Drosophila melanogaster: one gene and its partner. Changing the gene in region 2 together with the main gene of any one other region gives a genetic interaction. Each region holds a gene or a part of one and is shown on either strand. Other genes may lie near its edges. The genes, in order: p and or.

Region 1 (3,926 bases), on a different chromosome or scaffold from region 2:
TATAATTGCATACTATTTTATATATTTTTTATGGGGTACGGGTGCTACTATAAAAACAAAAACGAATTGGATATTACAAAAAATTACAAAAAATCCTTCGAGCCGGATTTGAACCAGCGACCTATGGATTTCTATTGCATAATTTTCCAACTACAGTCCACCGCTCTACCAACTGAGCTATCGAAGGTTGAGTTCAAACTTGGCCGTTGTTCGTTTTATGCATGCGCACAAACGAAATGCACCGTATTTGGTTATTTATTTTTGATTTTTACTTATTTAGGTCAAACAAAATTGATCAACTTTCTCTATTCAGTCCATTGCAGTAAGCCTATAGTTTCCAAGCCTAATAGCCTAGGCGCTTTTCACAAACTATATCAATTTAGTTACGGTTTATTTCTTCCAAATAAAATCCTTCTTATATTATTTAGTTTAAACAGCTCAGTTATATTCTGAATGTCTGTAGATGAATTAAATTGATTTAAATTGTGCACTACAAAATATATAAAAAAAAAGGTATGTGCACTACAAAATATATAAAAAAAAGGTATTTATATCTTTTCGATCCTTCGAGCCGGATTTGAACCAGCGACCTATGGATTTCTATTGCATGTTTTTCCAACTACAGTCCACCGCTCTACCAACTGAGCTATCGAAGGTTAAATTCGCTTGCGGCTAATTCACCTTTTGTTCAGGAGCGAGGTGGGGAAAGTGACAAAAAGAGAGGGCACTTCTCTTAAACACCGCTGCTCTTTAATACTCGCGGCCAGAAAAATAGGACCTTAAATTCTTGTAAACTTATATTAAATACTAAAGCATTGTAAATCTTAATGAGAAAATATTCAGGTACAACTGTTCATGGCTTAATTTTAGACCAAAATTGTGCATGAATTTAGAAAGGCAGCAATGCACTATTTGAAACTAACTAGTTACCCACCCACAGCTGTGCACCGATAAAGGGGTGGTGTGCGAGCAAAGATGCCATATTTATACATATATCCATCTCGTTCCAGCGCCGACGATAGACGATACCGATACTTTGCGAGTCCGCTCCCAAGATTGAGCCCCCACAGCGTAAAAGCGACCGAAGTGCCGGCGACGAGAGCAGTTCGTTCCCAGAAGCCGGCAGCAGTGGTCCGTTGATAACTCCGACTCGAGCTACTTATCCACCACGTCGATACTCTTGTCTGTCTATTGCAAACATAGAGGAGTCACCCTTTGGCTAACGAATCCGAAACTCCCGAGTTTTGTTGTGCAACATATCAAAAACCGCATTTGTTCGGATCCAATTTACATTCGCATTTCAAAGATGTCGTACCACAAGCCCGAAGCTAAGACCGTCCAGGATCTGAAAGATCTGGCCCAGAAACTGCGAATTCACTCTATCAACGCCACCCAGGCCTCCAAATCGGGGTAAGTTTATCAATAACTGAAAGTCCATAGGCATATTAAAGTGTGCGTATTTAGATTTGTTTGTGTAGATGTGAATTTTAAAAGTTGTGCACCTTGCACTTGTTGCTTCAAAGGTGACCCCCTCCATTTCCAGGGTGGGTGCGAAAAAGTTTTTGAGGGGGCTGCTAAATACATACATACATATGTATGTGTTTTGAAACATTACAAAAGAAAATAAAACAAAAATAGTTACGCATATACATAGTTATGCATCTATGTTTGTATGAATGTGAGAAGTAAAATATGGGAAGACCGGTTCCTTTAGTGACCCCTCCTGGGATTCAGTTGCCAACCCACGTGTTGTCCAGTAGCTTTAGTGAATTTGCGAATTTGTTGCCCTGCCTGCGTGCTCAGTGATAAGCCGCGTTCACCTACCTTAAATTGTGAGCTAATATTTTTTGACCTTAGACAACCTTGAAACGTTAGGTTTTTCTTACTGCCTTTTAATTTCTTTTGCTTTTGTTTTGTGCGTGGCGTTCAAAACGCCGAAAGCACATACATATGTACATGGGGTAAAAACAAACATACTTACATATCAAACAGAGGCATTTAATATACGTATGTACATATGTACATACAAGTGTTGGAAAGCACAGCTTGTGACGGGAGTGGAATTGGAAAGAGAGGGATGAGAATAGTAATGGAATGATCCCCTACACTTGAGATTTACGACTGTATGGCTTTTAATGTAATTATATCTCGGATAGACGCGATCAAATTATTACTGCAACAGTAAATAAAAAAGTTACTATGCTGATAAGGAAAACACTTTTATCGCCTCCATTAGTTTTTCCATTCTGTTTCGTTTTTTTTTTTTTTTGTGACGGTTCAAGATAAGATCTGCTCTGTTTGCTCTAAATGTGACCTCTGCCGACGAGATAAGCCCGGTTTGGTTACTCATTGACCACGATATGACCGATTAGAGGTGACCAGCTCAAGTGTGTTCCCCGCATGATAATCGAAAATCACTGAAAACTGATAAAAAAAAAAAAAGCGCGCCGGGTCACTGCTAACACTCCGTATCACCTTCAATAGTTCTTGATATGGCTGCAGGAAACGGGGACGCACTTCGGAACTATCTAGAAGCACGTGCGTTCACAAAGATCGCCATGCAACACAATCGTGGAAGCCAAGAATTTGGTTTTTAAGGCTATTATTTAGGTTTTTTGGTGATCAGAAAAGTTCAAGGTCCCAGAAACCGGTGAGGAATTGCGATGGACTCACGTCGCGACAAACACACATATCACACCATATAACGCCAATAAATACATATGCATGTACTCGTTATAGTTTATTTATATGTCTGGGGTAAGACGAGCCCCCCATTTTGTCTGGGGTTGCGTGTTTTCTTTGCGGTTGGAGTTGTGCCAGATCTGCGATTCAAAGCAATTTTTTTTGGAACACGATCGCATGGGAACATTGAATTCCAAGAATGGATCTTATCTTATTTATATGTACATTGCAATTGGATACTCGAGAAATCTTCATTTGAAATATGAACAGAGGGGGGGGGGGGGGTTTAAATAAAAGCTTCAATAGACAAATGGATTTCTTTTATTAAACAACGTTTTTAACAAGTATGCACAGTGTTCAGTTCCACTTTTCCTTTGTTGATCGGCCTTCACTTACCCACCGTGAGGTCGACTTCTATAATTCATTAGGCACTTACCTTAACCTAGAACTACATGCAAACGAAATGCCTTGTCACAATCTAATATTTTGCCTACTTTTCCCTCTTTATAGCCATCCCACATCATGTGCCTCGATCGCTGAGATCATGTCCGTGCTGTTCTTCCAGCAGCTGCGCCTGAACCTGAAGCACCCACGCGATCCCTCCAGCGATCGCTTCATCCTGTCCAAAGGACACGCTGCTCCCATTCTGTATGCCGCCTGGGCTGAGGCTGGTCTCTTCCCCATCGCGGATCTGAACAACCTGCGCAAGATCGACAGCGATCTGGAGGGTCACCCGACGCCTCGTCTGAACTTCATCGATGTGGGCACTGGATCCCTGGGACAGGGTGTCGCCGTCGGCGCTGGCATGGCCTATGTGGGCAAGAACTTCGACAAGGCCGACTACCGCACCTACGTGGTGGTGGGTGATGGTGAGTCCGCCGAGGGTTCCATCTGGGAGTCGCTGCACTTTGCCGGCCACTATAAACTGGACAACCTTTGCGTGATCTTTGATGTGAACCGCTTGGGCCAGTCGGAGGCCACCTCCCTGCAGCATAAGCTGGATGTTTACCGTGATCGTCTGGAGGCCTTCGGCTTTAATGCCGTCGTTGTCGATGGTCATGATGTCGAGGAATTGAGCAAGGCTTTCCATTGTGCTGCAATCACCAAGAACAAGCCCACCGCCATCATTGCAAAGACGTTCAAGGGCAGGGACTTCCCCAACATCGAGGATTTGGACAACTGGCACGGCAAGCCACTGGGCGACAAGGCCGCCGAAGTGGTGAAGCATCTGGAGGGACTGATTG
Region 2 (3,829 bases):
CATAGAGAACGATGCAGAAATCTGTCAGCCTCCGAAGGTCAGCGAACCCATTCCTCCGATGCCTCCTGAACCTGCGCCGTCTTCCAAATTCGTTGATCCAAATCGAACTGTCGAAGCTCCAGCTGCTCCCTCTCCCTTCCACTTACCATTAAGTGGTCGTGATCAATGGGACGCATTTGGCGAACTAATCGCCAGTGAATTCCGTAACCTGAACTCTGAAGTTTCGCGCAAGAGGCTGAAGCGGAAAATAATGCAAGTTATGCTGGAAGTCGGCGAAGAAGATGATCTTACAAACAGTTGATTGTAGAATTATGAACATGTTTAATACAGCGGACACCGTTTTAGGTATAAATCTTTAATATATGCAGCACACAGATCATGCGAATACGTCATCGCAAGACACTTTGTATGTACATTTTAAACCCCATTCGATATAGAACGGAAGTGGTTGAACTTCGCATTGTTAAGCTATCAAAATCGTAAGGCTCGTTCTCGCTACTGGTAATTCATTTGCATTTTTATTATGGTAGGGGAGTTATATAGAGTACGTGGGACCTAATATTACGGAACAGTCGACAGCTGTTGGAAATTCATGAAGGACTGCGAAAAAGCACTAGATTCAACAGATTACAATTAGACGAGAGAGTTATATCAGACGCACATTTGTCAGAACTTAAAGTCCTTAATGGCCTGCGGCAGATCAGGTAGCTTGATGTCTTTAATCTGTTGCGGAATGTTCATACTCTTCACGGCGCTCACAGCTCGGGCAGGTGCAGCCGAGATGCCCGCTTCCTGCTTGACGATCTTGTTCTGCTCCTCGATCCTGGCCATTATGTCGTTCATATTTGTCTGCAGGACCATTCCGCCCATTACCAGTTCTGAAACGAATTCATGATAGCTGAATCTGAATGGATTGCCAAAGTAGCTTTCCCAACCTGAGAGGATGTGGTGGACGGCATCGGCGTGGAATATCAGGTCCAGCTCACACACGTTTTCGAAGCACTTGTCGAGGGTTTCCACGAACACCTGAATCAGGTCCAGGATTCCCAGTTCGCTCTCCGAGGAGTCCACGCAGAAAACGAAGTACAGCGTGGCATAGTGTCTGTAGATGAGTTTGTAATCCGATCCGCCAATCAAACTGTTGGAGGAAAGAGGTGCTTTAAGATATTCCAGGAATTTGCGGGAACAATATTGCTCACCTTCCGCCCTCCAGAAAGTTGCAAACATTATCGTCCCGCTTGGACACCAATTGGAAAGTCTCTTTGATTATTTGTTGCTGCAGGCTTTCATCCTACAAATGATAGTGACAATTTATTATGAACTAGATTATATGGATTATATGTCGCAGTACTTACGAAATACTGATAGAACTTCGATAGCCGCGGCTTCCCGTGATTGTTAAAAACGAGAATGGCTTTTATCATCTCAACTTCTAAGATAAGTCAACAAAAAAAATGAAAATGTTTAAACTGCCAGCTGTTTTGCTTTTTCGACGAGGGCTGCAAAATCAATACTTGGTATAGCATCTATAATATCGATATATCTTTATCTGACGTATTTATTTCAAAAATCTAATAAGAATCATGCATATTTTAGAAAGTTAGGGAAAATATATTTTTTAAAGCAATTTCTTAAATCGGGTGTTAAAAATCCGTACAAAAAAAAATTCTATGGATTTCTGATTGTTGCCCATCTCTAATGCCTTTAACCTCGCGGTCTCCGATTTGTTTATTTCTTATTTTTATTGAATTATGAATATTTTGACAAAAGTAAAATACAGCTGCAGGTACTCTGGGTTTTATTTTGTAACTCCCTTTAGTTAACGTATAGTTTGCAGGGTGAGCTCGGTTTTAAACAGAGATGTGAAGCAGCACGGAAAGCAATTCATGTTTGATACGCGGGAAGAAACTTCTTGGAATTCAGATGAGGTATCATCCTAAGATTTGGAAAAAAAGAATATAACTCCAAACGGCCATTTCAGGGAACCCCCCAATTCATTACCATTAGCTTGGAGGAGCCACAGAAAGTAGCTGGATTTAGTTTCCAGTTCCAAGGCGGATTCTCTGGCCAAAAATCCGAACTGATCATGTACTCCGCTGACGGAGCCCAAGTTCACCAAGAGCCATTCTACCCAGAAGATATCAACTCCCCACAGCTTTTTCAGATTGCGGAATCAGTCCGGGAAAACCCCTGCTCAAAGCTAAAGTTCGTCTTCGAGTCCAGCACCGATCTATTTGGTAGAATCATTGTTTACGATCTCCAGCTGTTCGGCTAGTCTCTGACCCAATAGATCTTACTAAATGTGTACAAAATCTTCTCTAATCAAAGTGTATAAAATCGGATCATTATCTATTGTGGTATTATCAAAAACATTGGTCCGTAATAGGATGGTCATGGTTATCAGCAATAATTGTGCTGATTCAGCCTGCCACTGCTGAAATTGATATGCGACTAATTTCATATAAATATTTCAAACTAGGTAAGCCCTTTAAGTGCTTACGAGTGTGGATCAAGGTTCAATGAAAATATTTCCACGCGATTCCCCAATTTGAATATCATTTGCATGGAGCTGGCTCGAAAAACACGCAACTTCATAGCGAAGGTGACACTCTAGTCCATGTCTTATCACCCCATATAGAAGCGTCATCAATCAGCTTAGCCCATTCCAATTGAAATTTCGTCATTTATGTATATTGCACCAAAACCATTGTTTATTTGTCCAAAACCGCACAGATAATTTAGGCATAGCTTTATGATTCGAATGCTTCATTTATAGTCGTGTTTCCAAGAGGCAACTATGCTGCAAGCGAGATCTCCAGGCGAGGGCAGTTGGGAATGCCACACTCCAGATCCGGGGAGGTGTCCTGGTGCCAGCAGCTCTCCGAGTTGCAGAACATGCATGCGTTGGGCGAAAGAGGGACGTTTGTAGAGAGGTCCACCATTTCCCACACTTTCTTTAGATCGGTAACCAGGGCGTTCATCATTTCAAAAGTGTGGAACGGGGTGGGGGCCAGCCGCAATTTCTCCTGGCCCCGGGCGACGGTTGGGTAGTTAATCGACTGCAGGTAGTGTCCGAATTGTTCGATCAGCACGTTTGAGATTTGACTGCTCTTCAGAGGGTCTCCGATCTTAATGGGAATGATGTGGCTGGGCGTTTCTTCGACGGGGAAACCTGAAATGGGGCCAATTATATATGCAGTCAGTAAACTGAAAGTTAAGTGTCTCTTTCTATATTTATAGCCATCACTTAAAATAAAACGAAAGTGCGAGAATAACCTTCAATTCGAGTTACATAAATGCCAGAATTACGTCTTACCTTCTCGCTTCAGCAGGCTCTTCAGGTAGGAGACGTTCCGTTGGTGCAAGTGGCGCAGCTGGCGACCCTCCTCCGATGCCAGGATATTGACGGCCTCCAGGGCGCCACACAGTACAGTCGGCGGTAGTGAGGTGGTGAAGATGAAACCGGCCGCATACGACCGAATCATGTCGACCAGGTTATGGGTGCCAGCTATGTAGCCACCAATATTACCGAACGCCTTGCCCAGGGTGCCCGATATGATGTCCATTTTGTGCAGCACACCATCCCGCTCACCGACCCCGGCCCCGTGGTCACCGTACAATCCCACGGCGTGCACCTCGTCGATGAACGTGATGGCCCCGTGCTCGTGGGCCACGTCAAGCAGCTCCTCGAGCGGGCAGATGGCCCCCGTCATGGAATGTACCGTCTCGAATGCGACGATCTTGGGCACGCTTTTGTCCGTCTGCTTCAGCAGCTGATGCAAGTGGTCCACGTCGTTGTGCCGGAAGATGTGCTTGGGAACCCCGCTGT

Evidence for each region.
Region 1: of or (region 2) and p, changing one enhances a phenotype caused by changing the other (phenotypic enhancement), as found in Drosophila melanogaster (one study listed by BioGRID).

Annotation. Positions count from the first base shown.
Region 1 is NT_033777.3:8,668,519-8,672,444, forward strand, and holds the start of p (pink), read right to left. Parts: upstream 2,167-3,926; 5' UTR 1,982-2,166; intron 1,411-1,981; coding exon of another isoform or gene 1,307-1,410; exon of another isoform or gene 1,011-1,306; intron 657-1,010; exon of another isoform or gene 563-656; intron 188-562; exon of another isoform or gene 94-187; intron 1-93. Other genes in the region: CG8036 (uncharacterized protein), read left to right, coding at 1,307-1,410, 3,193-3,926. UniProt on the Drosophila melanogaster protein: Has a role in the biogenesis of eye pigment granules. Eye pigment granules are specialized forms of late endosomes or lysosomes. Biogenesis of pigment granules in the eye requires molecular components required for protein delivery to lysosomes.
Region 2 is NT_033778.4:23,965,615-23,969,443, reverse strand, and holds or (orange), read right to left. Parts: upstream 1,506-3,829; 5' UTR 1,425-1,505; coding exon 1,356-1,424; intron 1,292-1,355; coding exon 1,200-1,291; intron 1,139-1,199; coding exon 936-1,138; intron 879-935; coding exon 667-878; 3' UTR 501-666; downstream 1-500. Other genes in the region: CG10904 (uncharacterized protein), read left to right, coding at 1-301; CG34213 (uncharacterized protein), read left to right, coding at 1,752-1,786, 1,838-1,928, 1,982-2,275; Alas (aminolevulinate synthase), read right to left, coding at 2,796-3,172, 3,317-3,829.